Linked DNA regions of Nothobranchius furzeri. The protein of the gene in region 2 purifies or fractionates together with the protein of the main gene of each other region. This does not show direct contact. Links are inferred from orthologs where the notes say so. Each region holds a gene or a part of one and is shown on either strand. Other genes may lie near its edges.

Region 1 (6,582 bases), on a different chromosome or scaffold from region 2:
ATGCCAAGGAACCCCGCCTTGATGTCTTGGTCCCGCCCCAGTTGCCAAAGAGACATGTCATCAGGAACCGGCAAGGCGTGTTCCAATGCTCATGTTCTACCGAGGCGCCTGTTCTCCGTTTGTTAGCTGTTTAGCAGCATCTTAAGACCACAGGAGCTCGATAAAAAACAATAACAATGACATAATGAAAAGCTGCTGCTGTAGATGACCCATCATGTCTATGCTGAAATGTTGTTTTAAGATGTCAGCAGTGACAGGATGAGTGACTCGGTTGATTCTCAGAAAGCTGTTAGCTGATCGGCTTCAAATGGCGTTTAAATTCATCCATCGGTTTTCTTCCACTTATCCAGGGTCGGGTCGTGGGGACAACAGCCTAAGCCAAGAGGCCCAGATTTCCCTTTCCTCAGCCACTTGGGCCAGCTCCTCCGGGGGAATCCTAAGGCGTTCCCTGGCCAGCTGAGAGACATAGTCCCTCCAGCGTGTACTGGGTCTTCCTTTAGGTCTCCTCCCGGTTGGATGTGACCGGGAAACCTCACCAGGGAGGCGTCCTGACCAGATGCCTAAGCCAACTCAAGTGGCTCCTCTTGATGTGGAGGAACAGCAGATCTACTCCAAGCCCCTCCTGGATGACCGAGCTTCTCACCTTATCTCAAAGGGAGAGCCCAGACACCCAGCGGAGAAAACCCATTTCAGCCGCTTGTATCCGTAATCTCGTTCTTTCGGTCACTACCCAAAGCTCGTGACCATAGGTGAGGGTAGGAATGTAGATCGACCAGTAAATTCACCTTCTGGCTCAGCTCTCTCTTCATCACTAGAGACCGGTACGACGCCTGCATCACTGCAGACGCAGCACCAGTCCATCTATCGATTTCGTCCTCCATCTTTCCCTCACTCGTGAACAAGACCCTAACATATTAAAATTCTCCACTTGTAGAAAGTGAATTAACATGAATATGGTTACCAGGAACAGGTTTAGGCTCTAAGTTATGTGGTATTAAAGGTCTCAGAGACATTTCAAGCTATCAAAAGCATTAGCATAGATAGAAAGTAGACATCCAGATCAAACCAGCTGAAGCCAGAACAAACTTAGAGCCCCCCTAGTGGCTGGCTGCAGAACAAGTTTTGAGCTCAACTCCTGTTGATTCACATTGATGCTGCATGCTAAAATATTCATGTTTCTAATATTTTTAATTATAATAAGTCATTTGATACTGGAAAGAAAAACAAATAACACCATGATTAAAGGAAATGGTGTGGGTGTTTCAGCAACTGGATACAAATACTAAACAAAGGAGACATTTTGGCTTCACTTTTGTGCGACTGAAGTAAACGGGAATGTTTCCTCTAAATACCATGGATGCGTCTAAAACAGACATAGGTAATATGATCTAAAATCAGGGGCTGGGTCCTTCAAAGGCTGCATTTTAAAGCTGATTATGTCACAACGAAGCGACACGGCTGTCCAAATTCAAAGGATACTCAAAATACAACCCTTATTTTCACTGAATTTCAAGTTGGGTAGGATGTATTGTTACTGGCCCACCCTATCCCAGCCAGGCTTCACTGTGGGCTGAACAGCAGATATTGTTCCTTACAATAACAGTTGACAAACCTGGAGAATTTTATAGTTTAAATATAGGCTAGTTAATATCTGCTGGTGGGGGGGGGGGGGGGGAGAGAGTTGTGTCATTGGGATTTTTCCATTTGCATAGCTGGTCTTTAAATATATTTTTAAGAGAAAAACTCATAAATGAGCTTGTATAGCGAATGTCGAATATCTTCATGTATCGCTGTTAGGTTTAGTTTTAACCTGTTTAGCACCATCATGGTCGCTAGGCGACAGGGCATACGTTTGAGCAGGAGTCAACATAAACGCTAGACTGTCCAAATTTCCTGCTGCTCAGTAGGTTATTAAGAAAGCAAAGCCCAAGAGAAGCATGGCTCATCACACTTTTGAATTCATTTGATTTAAATCAGGTTTTTCAATGTGTTTGTGAAGGTCAAAGGTCAGTCGTAATTTCAAATATTGACAAGCACAAGAAAAGTTTCTGCTTCAAGCACAACCGCACAACCAGAGTATTTTCTGACTCTCCTCATGGCTGATCATAGCTTCCAGTCTGACTTACAGTGACTTTTATGTAAAACCATTGGACGACAACACACACACACACACACACACACACACACACACACACACACACACACACACACACACACACACACACACACGGGAGAGAAGAAAACAGCCATTCCTGTTGCTTGTGTCAACACTGGTTATCACACTTCCATCTTACTTTCCCAAGGCATGTTAAAGACCACCAGACTGTACATGAATCATAACTCCACAGTTTCATGAAAAAACCACACACTGAGCTCTTTCAGCACACACCACACATACTGAGGTTATGCTACTGACTGCAAACTGAAAAAAGGGGGAAATGAGACTACAAGAGAATCTGGCACCAGTCAAGAGCTGCAGCTCTGTCAAAAAGACAATGTTGCCTTCTGGTTCCTGATTCCTAAAATATCTTATTTTTTCAGCTGAGGGAAGACATTTTCTACAAAGAGCTGAGCTAAGACTGCAAATGAGGAAAAATAAAAGCTAAGAAAATCATTTGGCTCCCCAACAAAACTCTCACACGATGGAGAAAAGTTATGTGTTCCTGTCTGCTTTGCAAATGAAAACAGGTAAAAATAAATAAATAAATAAAAGTCTGCAGAAATTTGACATGTTCAGTGTGTAACAGAGCTATATGCCTGCCTGAGGTGAAGATTTGTAGTCAAGTCAAAAGGGAAATGGATGCATCCCCTAATGCCAAGTATGTGTGTGCTTTGCATGTTAAACACAGCTGATCACAGCCATCACTGGATTCTCTTGTGGCTCAATGCAAGGCACAAAGAGCAGATTGAAGGATCACAAGGACTTATTTTCATTTATGGTCCTTTTAAAGCTTCCTTCAGGAACAAAATGCTATGTAATTATTTAAAATGCACGGCTAAGTATTCATTGAAATGTATGTTCTTTATATGAGACCAGTAGACTGGCTTCAGACTTCATTCTCATCAAGTAACTGAAGCTGAGAGGAAAAAGCTTCAGAAATATTATAGCTGTATTAAACCACTATAGAAATGAGTCAAAATAAAAAAGGTTATTTCCTGCTAAGTTGATGATTGACAAACCTGCAGCAATAAATACCACCGGTGCTAGGATTCAGTTTTAATATCGAAGAACTAAATGTGTTCAGCTTGAAATGCAACAAAATCTTCTAATAACACAGTTATATATAATGAAATCCTGAAGCCAGCCTGTTCGCTATTGTTCATAACAGGATACACTACGAATTTATGAGATTCTAAGACAGTTTATAAGGATCAATATGTCAGAGAATATAAAATGTTGTCATAAGTCACTTTATTAAACATAAAGCTAAACAAAGGTGGAAAAACCATGAAAGCATTCGTTTACCTAGTTTATTTTTCAACCATAGCAGCGTTTGATTTCATCGCCAAAAACTTGACCTTATCTGCTTATGGACGCTGTAAGGTTAACGCATGCGCACTAGCACCAGATGTGTATTACATGAATCAGTAGCTGGGATCTGTCTCCCCTTTTTTAAGAACTTCTTACAACATCTGGTCTCTCGCGCAAATGTATTTACGGAAGAAAATGACGTGTAACAGGAAAACACATGATTGACAGTCGAAACGTCCAATAGTATTCGTGGAATTGACCGTAAACATTCCAAGTAATCCAAGCGCAGCAAATTACCGAGCAAACGGCTGGACTGTTTTAGCTCTCAAGTTAGATAGGTTCAGAGGCCCCAAACCCCGGGGTAGCGAAATTATCGTCCGAAGATAAATTAACGACGGTCCCGGAGGTAGCCCGTCGGTTGGTCTGACTGTACCGGGCAGTGTCAGCTCTGCCGGAGCAAGCCAGGAAACAATTGGACTGGCCCTGCGACGTGAATAGCACTCGGTTCCTTGCTGACATGACCATGTTAGAAAGGGAGCAGCACCGGCGTAAACAGTATTGAAAAGACACCACCTACCCAGAAATTTTCTAGGAAGTAAGGCGCTATCATCTTGTTCAAATCCTCTTCTGAGCAACTTTTTAATTGGCTGTGATGCTATTCTTAAAGCGTAAATCATCCACCGTCCTCCCCCCTTTTCTGTTATATATCTGCCTTCTTGCCGTTTTCCTCCTCTCCCCTTTCTTCTCCCTCCCCACCGACAGACTCCACCTCCACTAGGCTGCACTGCGCCTTTCCCCCCGCGGTTTCTTCCCGAGACGTAGGGAGGAAACAGCGCTGCTAACGGCCGAGGGCGAGGCGAGCACCGGGCTAGCTGCTAGCCGCCCGGTCGATATGCCGCCTTCAAGTGCTCCCTGGAAATTCCTCCATCCTAAACACGACAATGAGGAAAAGCTAATCACATTTGCATAAAGGAAGTTAAATAAATCTAAACCAGAGTAAAGATAAATGAGCAATGTATAATGTTGGGGAAAATGGATGAAACAGTTTTAAAAATATTCTGATTCCTATCTTGGGTGGGCATATTCCAACTGTTTTTTCACCTCTGCAGAAAACCCTTTGTGACTCCTTGATATTGGATTTTTTTCTAATTGCAATGTTTTTTTTTTTTGACCAATCGGGTTGTATATGTTCTTACTTTCTTATTTCTCCAGTTTAACAAAGTATCAGCTCATTTGTTTCTCCTCCAAATCAAGTGTTCTCTTTAGTTTAAAACGTAGTCTTTTACCCACAGGCTGAGCACCCCTCCTCACTGACTACTGAATTAGGTATTGGTGTTTGGGGCTCGTCTGCTGTTATTTTGTCAAGCACAGTTTATGTTGATTGTTTTGACTTAATCCATTCAAAATGTGCCTGCTTATCCTGGTTTCCACCCTAGAGTGAGTAGAGTTTAGAGAGATGCGTAATAATTTGCTACCCATTTTCCATTAAGTTTGTTAACGCGAACAAGTCCTTATTTTATACTAAAAACTCATGACCTACGCATTTGTTGCATTTCCTTCATTCTTTAAGAATTCATAGTGTCCAACACATGTTATGACTCGCAAGCAAATGCAGAAGCAGCTCTTTTCAATTCACTGAGGATCAATATAAAGTTTTTAAATAACTTTTTTAGAAAAGATGCCCAGATGTGTATTTATTCTTATAGCACATAATCCTTTATAAATAAATGCTAGTATTCGATTTAAAACCACAAACCAAAGCACGTTTTTGCAGTTTTTGAATGTCACCCCCTACCAGAGTATTACTCTGCTCCCACTTCATATTTCAAAAATGGAAAAAATGCTGTTGCCTAGTAGACCGAGAGGGCGGAGCCACTAACAAATACACACACAGGCTCACAATGACATTGTGACATCATATGGTACCAGTCAACGTTCTAGGGTACCTCTTAGCCAATAGCGATGGCAGATTTAAATTCAAACGCAGTGCAGTTTTTACCTGACAACGGTGTTGGTGCAGGATCTGCTCGGGTGCAGGATCGGCTCGGGGTTCTTCGACTGCCGATGACGTCAAAGTAGTTGATTGGCTGAACATGAAGCTTACAGAAGTGACGTTATCACGTTATGATTTTGAGTGGTCAGAACTAATTTGCGGTTGTAGTCCTGTAGTCCAAAAATCAACACTTTTTGGAGAAAATATGTTTGAATTTCTAAAGGAAATGTAAAATATAAGCAAACGATATACGGTGACCCTCAAAAGCTCTTGATGTTGATGAAATGGGGCAAAATAAAATATAAGAACTTTATTGAAAGACACCAAGCAATATTTTGAGTCAAAGAATGTATTTAGATAACAACTAAGGAAATATACAGACGAAGTCCACGTTAATACAAACAGATGTGGCTTCACATATAAGAACTGTTCTATTGTTTGTCAGTCCGATGTTGGTTTTATGCAGTTTCACATTCTTTACAAAACAAAGATAATATGGTGTTTTATTAACAAATTACAATTATAAAGAAAACATTTAGGTGTTAACAAACAAGAATTTATTAACAAAACTGCTGATGTCTTTCCAAAACGTGTGTGTGAAAGCCGAGTAGATTTGCAGTCATGTGACGTCATCGGCAGTCGAAGGACCCCGAGCCGATCCTGTACCGACACCGGATCAACACTGAGTTTTAGGCAGACAATAAAAATTTTAACTAAAATGCACTAAAGTGCAAAACTATTGACTACACATGTCTGCAGCACAATCAGACACGCATTTATATAGTTTATCAGAAAAAAAAGTTGATTTGGAGGTGACTTGCTCTTTCATTAGAAATTAAGGTGTAACTTCCTGAAAAATATTAGATTTAAAGGCAAAACAGATTGTTCATTTTTTATGAACAGCTTTCATGTTACTGTCAACATGTGTGTTTATGTTGTGGCTGGTTTGTTTTAGGAAACACAACCACACGTAACTAGTTACCAGGCAACTAGGAATGAATTTTAAAACGTCTCATATTTTTTTAGCCGTGTTAAGTTTAACTCACAAGTGAAGCAATCTTTTGAACTGAAAACGGTGCTCTCAACTGTGCAGGAAGGACAGTCTGCTGAATTAAGC
Region 2 (6,386 bases):
AGATGATCAACTAAAGGATGATGCCTCTCAACTTAGGTTTCAGTTCCGTCTTCAAAAAATGTGAATTTTAGATTCTGTTCATGTGTTATAGGCCTGATTTTTTTTATTTTATCCTCCACTTTGTCTACTGAGCACACACTCCTCAAACAGCTCTTTCCCCCACTATAACAGTATTTTAAACCTTTAAAAAGGGATAACCTGACACTCTTATTTCCATTCCTTCACAGCGGATCTCTGTTTCATGCACAGATTCAAATATTAGTCATCATCTAACATATTTGAATGTCCCATGGCTGCATCGCATAGAAAAATTTTGCTTTAAGAACCAAGAACTGTGACCTAAAAGTCTCATCCAGCAGCAGAAAGGGGGAATTTTTCCTTCCCGAGAAAATCAATCATCTCAAAGGTATTCCTAATTACTTGAGTCGTTCTCGGAGTCGTCCACTTGATAAAAGAATTACTATGAAGAGGTTTGCACTCTGATTAGTTCAGCCACTGAATGAATAATTGAATCTTCCGAGGAGGACGGTGGAGCTCTGTTTTCATATTTGAAAAATGTCTGCTGAGTAAAAGAAGACAATGGGCTTCGAGAGCTCAAACGCCAGCTTAATGTCTCTATTCTTGAAAGTCGTCACCTTTTCCACTTGTTGGTGTTTTCAGGGTCCTAGAAAATGGGCCAGTCATAGGGGTCCTCACAATCTGAGATAAAATGACCAATAATGGAGACATCATCACATTAAAATATTTCCTTATTTACGTATGAGACGCATAAAGTGTCCCACGTCTTACCTGACAGAATGAATGATTCATCCTAAATATGAGTCAGGGTTCAAGGTGTGTTGTTTGAGTGAATCCATTTGCTTCTGTCCACTGTGCTTTCATAATATTTGCATGACCTCAATCACACAAAGCAAGATTAGCCTGCAGGGTCAAAGTTCTTATTGAATAATCTGCTTCTGTTTTACGTCCCTTTATCCCAGCTTTGATCTTTTTTCATTATTATTATTATTTATTTTTCCGGGCCTTTTTTACTACCTCGTCCCTCTCCTTGAGTAATGAAATGCATCGCTGTTGAAATTATTTTCTTGCGAAACATTACCGCAGTGTTATAAATCTAAGCACGACTAAAGTCAGTCAAAGCTCACAAGCATTACAGAGGGGATAAAAACAATTTCCCTTTGTTTACACGCTTTCCCTTTTTCTTCTATTCTTTTACGTTTGCACCATTTGCAGCTGAGATATCTCTGGGTCCCAAGGGCAGGCGCATTCCTTTACACAAGAGTTGTGCAATCCCCCCCCCCCCCCCACCCCCACCCCCCCAACCTACACCTCCTCCCATCAGACTCCCTAAATGCCCAGAGCGCTCAGATCCAAGCTGTCTAAACTGTCTGTGCAGTGGCCTGTGGTGGACTGCCCAGCCAGACCCGTAAACAAATGCTAAGCCTTGATAATGCAGGAATAAAACACAAACAACTTCACAATTGTGCAGAAATGTGTGACTATATATAGATTTTTTCAGTAACCTGTAACACCTGAGACAAATTATGTATGACAAACTAATTTACAAAGGGAACATAGCCGTAGTTTTATATGATCTGTCCTTCATGTTTGTGCACTAAATCTTTCCATATAGTGCAGCATAATAGTAAAACTACAATAGCTAAGTAATTTTTCATTACCAAAATTCATATGAAATATAAAACTTTTTCAGGAATTTTTTGGCTTTTTTTTTGCCTTTTTTGACAAAAGTTTTGACTATTTATGACATTTAATCAGCTGCAATCTGTTCTTGCAATTCTTTCCATGGAAATTGCATTTCTTGCTGAAAAATATTATCATAAAAATAATGCATACATCTTAGGTTTCACAACTGAGATTGTTTTATAAAACACTTATGTTTAAATTAACTAAACGCTAACTAGTATGCTTGAATAGAATTGTGGTGGGTTGCATGAAAGCCTCTGAAATAGTTGAAATTTATTTTATTTTATTTTATTTTTTTACTAGGAACTAAATGATTGAATATCACGAACCTGTAACGCTCAAAAAATTATGTGTTAAACTGGCTTGACATATATGTTAAACTGGCTTGACATACATTAATTTGTGAAGGTTTTTCTCATGTGATCCAAAAACGCAACGAAACTCGATACGTCAATCGGGACCGCTGGTTGTTGTAGTTTCTCGTGGATTACATTGACTTGGCAGAAAAGCAGCGATGACTACGTTTCCCAGAATGCAACATAACTCGGCGTAGTTTTGCACATCCTGTTAGCTTGAGAGGATAGCGGACGAACGGGCGGAAAAAAGAGATACCGATGTTTTAATATAAAAGTGGTGCATTATTGCTCATGAACGTAATATTCTGGAGTGCCCAAGAAGCATATTAGGAAGACGAAAATGGTAAAGTTATTCAATTATTCAAGTTAATCTTTTTTTTTATTAGCCGTCAGGTTATGTTAGCGTTTAGAACTCGACAGATAAGCACTCCATTCAGTCTAGAAAACTATACTGGTGGTTAAATTGAGGGTTTAACCACAGAAAACCTCCACTTTAGCCTATGTAGATAGCATGGTGAAATTCAAGAATGTCGAAGTGTACGCATTATGTTAAAAGCTAGGTGTGGTTTAATAGTGCTACCTTTTACACCAGCCAAGCTAACGGTCAGTAATAGCTTCAGTTACTTTCACATCTCAGTAAGCTGGAGTTCCATAGCTGCCAATCTATGGTACATATTATTCCAGTGTGTTAATCATTTGTGTGGGTGGGTTTTGTTGCAGATTATTTTGTTTGATCTAATCCGTTTTCTATCCCAAAGATCCGCTTTATCCTCATCCAGAACCGAGCAGGGAAGACACGATTGGCTAAATGGTACATGCAGTTCGATGATGACGAAAAGCAGAAACTGATCGAAGAAGTGCATGCTGTGGTTACAGTCAGGGATGCCAAGCACACCAACTTTGTGGAGGTATGGGATTGTATAAATGCTTTAATGTGTGGCTGTTTTTGCAGACTGCATAGACATTAAAAAGTTAAGATTTCTAATTTTAAGTATAGCTCAATACTCTTGAAAGAGAGGCTGAAATGCAATTGGATTGTAATGTTTCATATATGGATGTTGATCAATATCTGCAGGAAAATAACATTCAAAAGAACATATTTTCTATTTATTGAACTTGGTCTGTATGTGAAGATAACGCCTTAAATACACCCTTGGGTGACTTATCATTTTTAACAAATACAGTATAATAGAAGAGGTTCCCACCTGTTTATTTTTTGCTTGTAGTAGACTTAAATATAATTATTGGTATACAAAGCCTTGAGTCTCTCAGCTCTGCTGAAACTTCTGTTACACAAATCTAAATTTCTAATTGGATTTCACCATTTTGTCCTCACAGTTCAGGAACTTCAAGATCATTTACCGACGTTATGCAGGCCTGTACTTCTGTATTTGTGTGGATGTGACTGATAACAACCTGGCATACCTCGAGGCGATCCACAACTTTGTTGAGGTAAACAATGAACACACACAAACATCCATCCATCATTTATTTATGAAGCACATTTAAAAACACAGCATTTCAGCTGTCCAGAGTGCTGTACAGGAGGTCCAAAGGCCAAAAAACAGTGGTGGGCTACTCTACAAAATAGATGAGAGAGGAGGGAAAGTATAACAAGTTGGAAGTAAAAAGAGCCCAAACTGTACAAATTGTAGAAAAAGAAAACAAGAACCTAGCAGTAGCTAATACACTTAAAATGAAATCAGTGGACATATGAACAAAACAATAACCTTATTTCGAGATAAAACACACACATGACCTGTGCTTGTCATGGTCTGGTGGGGTTTAGGAGTGTTTCTTTGTGGCTGTGATTTGTTACCTTGCAGTTCTTGAATGCCAAACTGGCTGCATTTTTGTGTGGATTAAAAACTAACATATAGTGGTTAAAAATGATCGTCATTCAGTTATGAAGGCATGGAAAGCATTCATAATAAATGTGTGATTTGGCAATTAAATGTTCACCTTATATAACATCTGTCTGGTGCAGAATGTGTCAGGAGAAAATAATTGAATTTATTTAAAATTATTTAACCTCTATTTCAGCACCGGTTTGAAACACTTAAGCATCAAATACAATTAAAGTTTTTATTTTTATATTTTGATGATTGAATGTTTTGGCTTCGAGTCTGAAACAGAAATGAGGTAAAATTTCACTATTCTGTTTTAGCAGCAGTGTTTTCAGTCTGATCTTTGTGCTTTTACAATAATAATTTTGCACAAGTGAAGCTGACGGTATCCACCTAAACTACTTTTGAAGCCTTTCTCTGAAATGGACCACCTCAGGGATTATTGAGCGGTTTATTTTTTGTTTTTGCATAGAACTGTTAAAAAACTAGGACAAAATGGTTAAATTTGTTGTTATGCTGCAGCCTTTCTGCCATTTCTCACACAATGGAAAGCAAATGGGCAGCTGTGGAAGCCAGAATAAAGTAGAAGAAAATCAATAGTAGACAATAGCTGTCCTTGTTACCGTTAGCCAACAGCTAAACCAAATCCTGAACAACAGGTTTAAAATGTTGTTTTATTTAAAGTGAATTTGGTATTTTCTGTTCTGCAGTCGCATTTCACTCGTAGGAATTGTCGGTAATTGTCGTACACACTTTGGTTGTGTAGCTTAAAATGTACATTTTTCTGTTTCTCTTTGCTGGAAGGTGCTGAATGAATATTTTCACAATGTGTGCGAACTGGATCTTGTGTTCAACTTCTACAAGGTGAGAACACACAGAGGGATTATTTTTCAGATTTGACACAATCTCTGATAGAAAGACATTACATGTATTTTTAATTGTATTATTTTGATGACAAAGAGGGGGAGTTGGGTCATGTTCGCATGCAGTTGATGGTATTTGTGCTCAGATCAGTATTTGTCCTCTCATCTGTTTTGTGCGTCTGTCTCAAGGTGTACACGGTGGTGGACGAGATGTTCCTGGCAGGAGAGATCAGGGAGACCAGTCAGACCAAGGTTCTCAAGCAGCTCCTCATGCTCCAGTCTCTTGAGTGAAAATGTGTCCTTCCTGTGCTTTTTATCTTCTGCCCAACCCGACCTTCACCATGTCCCTATCACTCTGGAAGAACCACACCATTCTCCATGCCCCTGCAGAGCCAGCTCTCATCTTCAAGACAAGGAGGGAGGGGGTTGTTTTGAATAAAAATACACAATATTGTTTACGTATGGATATGAGTTCAGCTGTTTGCCATAGCAGCCCATATGTTGCATTATTCTGATAAACTGCTATAGATGTCATCAACAAGCCTACAGTCTCAGTAGATTTTAACATTTCAAATAGTCCTGCCAATGTTATGAGCTTTGTAACTAACTGCAGAAAAGAGTTGTTTCATGTTTGCATTTATCCATGTTCACTGTGGAAATCAGTGTGAGACTGCTCTCTGTCCCAGTAACCTAAACATTTACTCAATGGCACTACTGTAACTAACAAGCACCATAAAAATAAACTGCAGATAGACCCGAGAACCCCCAACAGCTCCGTAGTTGTTTCTAGACGTCCAGTGTTGTGGGTTATCTCTGCTGAGTCCCAGCCCACCAGCGGACTACAAGTAGGAAGCTCTTCAGAGCCGTTGACCCAGCAGAGAAAGTTCATCCCAGAATGGAGCGTACTCGGGATGAGGAGCGTTTCAGTGGGGTGTTATGGTGACCGGTGACGAGAGAGAAAGTTATGTTGGATTTGTTCAGCTTTGCTTCCAATTACATCAAATGGTGCTTGTTCCCTCTTAAAACACTTAAATACAAAGAAAACCTGGACAGAGTCAGTTTTACATGAAGTGGAACTTTTGCTTTGCGTTGTGTTTGTATACACACACACACACACACACAAATATTTAGCATCTTATGTCCAGTACTGTGTAAAAAAAAAAAAAACAGCTCCTAATCATCTTGAGATTCATACATTCCTTTGATGTTTATTTGCCTAAAACCATAACATGGATGTATGGTGGATGGAAATCTGCTTTATTCATACAGGGGTTAAATGTTTTATCAACATCCCATGATCTAATTTTAACCATATCCAGTCAGATAATCTGAAACTACTTATTTCTTATGAAATAGTAATGACCTATATCCTGTTTCCCTTGTGAGTTAGCTGGTGGAACATGTGTTACAGTCTATTCAACACCTATTTGTCCAGTTTTGTGTAAATAAACAGATTAAGTGATTCTGCTGTCTGTTACTCCTTTTTTCTCTCCAGGATCTTAACGCCATCTAGTGGTGAAAACAATTTAGTCCTAAATCAAGTGAAATGGTTATGAGGTCATTGTGCCAGCCTGCTGGAATCAGTGGATCCATCAACACATCCACTCCAGCCACGC
Region 3 (6,414 bases), on a different chromosome or scaffold from region 2:
TAGAAGACGGCTATCCTGTTTGCAGCACGTGCAGAAAAAGTGTCTGTGAAAGGCAGCAACGCTTCAAATCTCATGACACATCTGCATGACCATCACCCACAACTCTACAGTCAACGCAAGGCAAGCTAACGTTAGCGTTTTAGCTAAAATGCGTGATCCGAGGATTTGGGTTGAGGGAGAATGCAACAAGTCGCTATATAAAGCAGCCGCAGCGCCGCTACCTGCATATAAACCGTGTCGCGGACACCCCCATGTAGGGATGCACCGATCAGGTTTTTTGCTGCCGATCACCGATACCGATATCAAAGAATGCTGATCACCGATACCGATCACGTTCATTGGCCAGAAATTTTCTACAACATTATAATGAGTGCTACAAACTACATAATCTGGGAATAAAGGAAATGTAACCTAATCTAAAATGGTCTGTATGACCCCCAAATTCCACTACCTCCGCTCCGGTCCGCCCCCGCCTTCCGCAGCCACTCGCTTCCGAACTCAATTTTTACTGGTACCCGCTCTACAACGGCTCCGCTCCGGTGCGGAGACCTGAGGGGGGCAAACAAGCATGCGCGGGATTTTCGAGATCTTGCGATACAGTCCGAGCAATAAACGCGGAAGTTAGATCCAAACACCCGTTGTGTGGGAGAAACATCGGCATGAGCTGTTTAATCTGCCCATCATTTGTGTTGAGAGATGAGCAGTGTTTGGATCAACAAAGTGTGACTACTTTGATCGTAGAAACTGTATTTATGGCTTACTTTTGTGCATTTAAACTTCAGCCGCCATTGATAGTTGTTAAAAGTTGTTAAACCTGTGCATATGAAACAAAAAACGCCTTTTGTTTATCGATTTATTGTGAAAAACGGAAATTGTGCTCGCTCCTTTTCCTGTTGGGCCGTTGTGATTTCTGTCCATTTACTGCGGAGGTGCTCCGGCGTCCGGCGAAAATAGGATCGATTCTATTTTTGCCGGACGCCGGAACAGAGGGCGGCGCATGGCGCCGCACTGCCGGAGCACGGCCGCAGTAGTGGAATTGCTCTGATTGACTACAACGGGACCGATTTTGCTCCGGCGTTCGTGTCGGAGCGGAGCGGAGCGGAGGTAGTGGAATTTGGGGGTTAGGGTTGTCACGGTGTGAAAATTTAACCTCGCGGTTATTGTGACCAAAATGACCACGGTTTTCGGTATTATCGCGGTATTTTTTTTAAACATGCTACATTTTCACACAATTAAATAAACCCTGTATGTCAGGAAAATATTGTCCTCAGTTTGTGTGTAAATTTTGCCTAAAATGTGTTATTTTGTAATTAAGTTGTTTATTTGTTTACATTTTCCCCCTTTAGTCTTTAAAATAGCAATATTTGCCCATAACTTCTTATTTTATGTCTGTTTGATGTCATCATTTTAAAAATATTAGATCAGATGATACTCAGTACTCAAGTAGCCTTCTAATCAGATACTTTTTTACCCTTACTTGAGTAATCCGTATATCAGGAAAATATTGTCCTCGGTTTGTGTCCTTCCAGTCAGCTTTGCAGATGTGGGAAAATGTCATCAGGCAGTAATCATTGTTAAATTCATAATTATTCTCGGAGAGAGACCAACTCTTATCTGCCCCTGGGAGCCCCGTAATGCATAGAGTCATTTCAACATGGGGGTGTCCGCAACACGGTTTATATGCAGGTGGCGGCGCTGCGGCTGCTTTATATAGCGACTCGTTGCCTTCTCCCTCAACCCAATTCCTCGGATCACGCATTTTAGCTAAAACGCTAACGTTAACTTGCCTTGCGTTGACTGTAGAGTTGTGGGTGATGGTCACGCAGATGTGTCATGAGATTTGAAGCGTTGCTGCCTTTCACAGACACTTTTTCTGCTCGTGCTGCAAACAGGATAGCCGTCCGTCTTCCATAAACTCCCTCGGCATTCTTCAAATATCTAAAAGATGCCTGTACTTCCGACTTTGTCTTCTTTGAGGGATAATAAATGTCCTCCTGAGCGCTGCCGTCTCCTCCTTTGACCATTATTTCAGCTTTAGCTTCAAGAAAGTTTTGTTGTAAACAAAGCGTGCATGTGCCGCCGGCAACTTCAGCCGATGATACGGTGGCTGGTAAGGGTCACCGCGCCTACACCGCAGCCACGGTAAACCCACCAAGATAATATATTTTTTTAAAAACAAGACGGTTATTATTGTCAACTTTTTTTCTTTTTTTCTTTTACCGGGGTTTAGCGCTACACTGGTTACCGTGACAACCCTACCTGATCGGTTTGCTCTGATCTATTTTAAAAATTCCGATCAAAACCGATAGGGGCGCTATCGGCCGATTACGATCAAATGCCGATCCATCGGTGCATCCCTACCCCCATGTTGAAATGACGCTATGCATTATGGGGCTCCCAGGGGCAGATAAGAGTTGGTCTCTCTCCGAGAATAATTATGAATTTAACAATGATTACTGCCTGCAAAGCTCACAGGAAGGACACAAACCGAGGACGATATTTTCCTGATATAGGCTTTATTACTCAATTAAGGGTAAAAAAAAGTATCTGATTAGAAGGCTACTTGAGTACTGAGTATCATCTGATCTAATATTTTTAAAATGATGACATCAAACAGACATAAAATAAGAAGTTATGGGCAAATATTGGTATTTTAAAGACTAAAGGGAAAAATGTAAACAAATAAACAACATAATTAGAAAATAACACATTTTAGGCAAATTTAGACACAAACTGATGACAATATTTCCTGACATACAGGGTTTATTTAATTGTGTGAAAATGTAGCACGGTTAAAAAAAATACCGCGATAATACCGAAAACCGTGGTAATTTTGGTCACAATGACCGTGAGGTTAAATTTTCACACCGTGACAACTTTAATACAGACCATTTTAGATTAGGTTACATTTCTTTTATTCCCAGATTATGTAGTTTGTAGCACTCATTATAATGTTGTAGAAAATTTCTGGCCAATCCACGTGATCGGTATCGGTGATCAGCATTCTTTGATATCGGTATCGGCAGCAAAAAACCTGATCGGTGCATCCCTAAACAAAGAATGATCATAACTGCTGTCCTTTGACCCATGATCACTGAGAAGAGTTTCAGGCTGTGTTGAAACCAGTTCATACAAAAAAGGACTTGTTTCACAGCACAACTAAGGTATTTGGCTGTGAGGCTCATGATAAGGTTTACCTGTGTTTTTGTCCTCCAGCTTGATGAAAGCCATCTTTCCTTTGGCTGTGATTTTCATCCTACCGCTCCACGCAGGTTCATCCAGTTTCCAGTCAGCAGCTCTAGATGAAAGAAGCAGGAAAAACCCACCGGATTAGAGAACCATTCATGTAAATCCTCATTTAAAGGAGCTCCTGTCTCTGCGTTTGTTTTAGCAGCTTTACTTGTCCAACATAATGAGGAAGTGAAATTAAAATCTGCCTAAAAGATCGAAAAAAGACAAACAGGGAAACTCCCAGTTGCTTGTTTTTAAAGATAATAAAAGTTGTATAAGTACCATCTGACCAATATAGATTATTGGGGTTAGTTTAGAATGTGAATACAAAACAAAACCTGAAATCACACACACACACACACACACACACACACACACACACACACACACACACACACTTTTGTGTTTTAAAATGTAAACAATGATCAAAATCAATCCACCGAAGTTTACCATTTTACACACAGAGTGAAAACTGAAAGGGAATTTGATTTATTTGGATTTTCTCATAACCAGTTTCAGAGTGAATGATGTAAAACAATCCGTTAAAACAAGAACATGTTTCTTCTTAACTCAAATAAAACATTTGTAAACAAAAAACACTGATGGTGGTGTTTCTAGCTATTAGCTCGCTGCTGCCAGTTGATATTGTTAAACTTTCCCAATATACGAACCTTTAGTGAGAACTAAGAAAAAGAGTCCGTAGCTGTCGAGTGTCTTCAGACCAGTTTGGTTGACAGCTTGTTAGTCCGATAATGGAAACATGACAGTTAAACTAGCCTGCTGACAAACACTTTTTCCGACTCGCCAGAAAGAAGCTTTCTTACCGATATCCGCGGTTGGAGGCCCGCGGCGGGATCCGGTAAACATGAACCTCTGGCTTCACACACAGCATCGACTCATAACTGTTGTCCTCTGCCATTTTGTCAAGTTTCACAAACCAAAAAACAACTTCCGACTTTCAATGGACGCCCGTGCTGAAGCTGCTTGGTGGTTGACGCCGCGCCGCCAGCTTCAAACAGCGCCACCCGGTGTCCGGAGGTTGTAGACGTAACTGTCAATCTGCTGTAAACACGAGTTTGTCCTGGGATTAATATTCAAATTATAGACGAAATAACAACTAAACAGTATTAATATGATTCATGTTCGATATTACTTTATACGTGAAACTAACATGAAGTCCAGATGACATTTTATTTTAAAACTGGCTTAATGTTGGTTCAGCTTAAATAATAATTGCCAGATCTTTTATAAAAAACAAACAAACAAACAAAAAACTACAAGTATCATGTTTAAATGAGTTTATTAAAGGGTATTCAGTTTTCTGTAGGGTTTTTCAAGTTTCAAAACAATTGCATCACATGAGCATCAAACAGGACACCTGGCTGTGAAAGAAAAGCATTGTGATCTGATCACACCGATAGCATGTTGGGTATCTGCTTATTGATACAAGGTCATAACGTATCCCTTAAGTTTCAACACCTGAAAGAGACTGTGTATATTAATAAAAAACTTCTCTAAAGTCAATTATCCAAACCAGATGCTCCCAAATCAGTTTGTTCCAAGATTCCTCCTACAGTAGATCCCAACACATGCCATTAATAAAAGTTTAGCTTTCAAAACATCAAAGGAATTTTACTTCCCTTCAGTCTGCAACTGGTTTTAAAGAAACATAGAAGGAATTGAATTGAGTAAAAACTCTGCTCTTTGTAAGCATTAAGTACCGTATTTTCCAGACTATAAGCCGCTACCTTTTTTCCCACGCTTTGAACCATGCGGTTTATAATGAGGTGCGGCTTTACTGAAGATTTTCCTTCACCTGCCAGGGGGCGCTTTCGCAGAAAGTGAAACAGGTGGAAGTCAAAAGTGGAAATCGAAGAAAGTGCTCATTTTAAATTAGCACATGCAAGCAGCCGGCACGACGAAGAATCTTTTTCAAATCCATACCCCCTCATCATGGTAACTACACGTATGAGTTCATATGATGCCGCATTTAAGTTGAAGGCCATCGATCTGGCAGTAAAGGAGGGAAACAGCGCTGCCGCACGTAAGCTTGGCATGAATGAATCCATGGCTCGGCGCTGGAGACGGCAGCGGGAAGAACTCATTCAAGCCGGCTTCACCCGGGGATGATGACAGCAACACGGACAGAGACACTGACATCGCCACAGAAAAGGTCTGTGACGAAGCTCTTCTGAGGCTGTTCATCTCCGACACTGAAGAAGAGGACTTTAATGGCTTTAGTGCGCAAGAGGAAGATGAGAGCTAATGACTTTTTCTGGTAGGCAAGTGTGTTTTATTTACTAACAGGCATGTTTTGTGTGCAGTTTTTATTTTCTAATCATCCAGGGCTTATTAATGCTGTGTCAGCGCTGTTCTTTCCTTCTGAACATGCAAATTACCGGTAATAACGTGTCAGTGCTGTTTTTATCTTATAACCATCCAGAAATATGAATGCTATCAGTGCTGTTTTCATTTCTAAACTTGCAGGCACATTCACCCGTGTTTAAAATGTGTTTTGTTGAATTAAAACAACAACGAAAAAACTCCGTGTGGCGTCTTTCTGTCTAATTATCTTATGTAATGGCCGTACATGCGCTATGCGCCGGAGACCTGCATGTGGCTGCTGCGCCGCGGCTTGTATTTGAGTGCGGCGTGTGTGTGTGTAGAAAAGCTTTTTTTTTTTTTTTTTTTGTTGGTGCGGCTTATATTGAAGTGCACTCTATAGTCCGGAAATTACGGTAGTTCCTCCAGAAGCCCATCAGAAGCTTCACAGATCAACCATAGAAACAAGGTTTTTGTTTGTTAGCAAGCAGGGTTCATTTATCATTTAAGGCATAAATGTCTAAGAATTCAAAAAGACTTGACTTATTTTTACACTTTATAAGCTCTTCTTCTGATTCTGTGGAAAACGAGCAAACATTTAGTAAAATTCTGCCGTGGGTAAAACACCACAGGAAGACATTCAGACCCAGGAAGAGAGGTTCAGGCTGTATTTCAAAGGTCACTGTTTAAAAAGCAGGTTTTGACCAGTTTTTGCCATTTCTTCCTCAACACTGGCAAAATATTTGCTAAAACGTAGCATCAGATGCGTTTTCCCCACAGCGGGCTTGACGTAACCCTGTCTGTGTGAGTTATAAGCATGATATAAGACTATTATTAATGTGCTGCTGCGTAAACACGAAT

The links. The genes of interacting proteins can lie anywhere in the genome.
Region 1: the proteins of ap2s1 (region 2) and fcho2 purify together in Homo sapiens (co-immunoprecipitation; 3 studies listed by BioGRID and IntAct, counting the BioPlex papers as one, with this or other methods). This does not show direct contact. The link is inferred for Nothobranchius furzeri from reciprocal best matches to the Homo sapiens genes AP2S1 and FCHO2.
Region 3: the proteins of ap2s1 (region 2) and necap2 purify together in Homo sapiens (affinity purification with mass spectrometry; 3 studies listed by BioGRID and IntAct, counting the BioPlex papers as one, with this or other methods). This does not show direct contact. The link is inferred for Nothobranchius furzeri from reciprocal best matches to the Homo sapiens genes AP2S1 and NECAP2.

The regions. Positions count from the first base shown.
Region 1 is NC_091746.1:66,696,810-66,703,391, forward strand, and holds the start of fcho2 (F-BAR domain only protein 2), read right to left. Parts: upstream 4,245-6,582; 5' UTR 4,083-4,244; coding exon 4,050-4,082; intron 1-4,049. UniProt on the Homo sapiens protein: Functions in an early step of clathrin-mediated endocytosis. Has both a membrane binding/bending activity and the ability to recruit proteins essential to the formation of functional clathrin-coated pits.
Region 2 is NC_091753.1:41,292,714-41,299,099, forward strand, and holds ap2s1 (AP-2 complex subunit sigma), read left to right. Parts: upstream 1-2,250; 5' UTR 2,251-2,400; coding exon 2,401-2,403; intron 2,404-2,818; coding exon 2,819-2,968; intron 2,969-3,398; coding exon 3,399-3,512; intron 3,513-4,711; coding exon 4,712-4,771; intron 4,772-4,959; coding exon 4,960-5,061; 3' UTR 5,062-5,532; downstream 5,533-6,386. UniProt on the Homo sapiens protein: Component of the adaptor protein complex 2 (AP-2). Adaptor protein complexes function in protein transport via transport vesicles in different membrane traffic pathways.
Region 3 is NC_091743.1:46,250,344-46,256,757, reverse strand, and holds the start of necap2 (adaptin ear-binding coat-associated protein 2), read right to left. Parts: upstream 4,245-6,414; 5' UTR 4,151-4,244; coding exon 4,056-4,150; intron 3,299-4,055; coding exon 3,198-3,298; intron 1-3,197. UniProt on the Homo sapiens protein: Involved in endocytosis.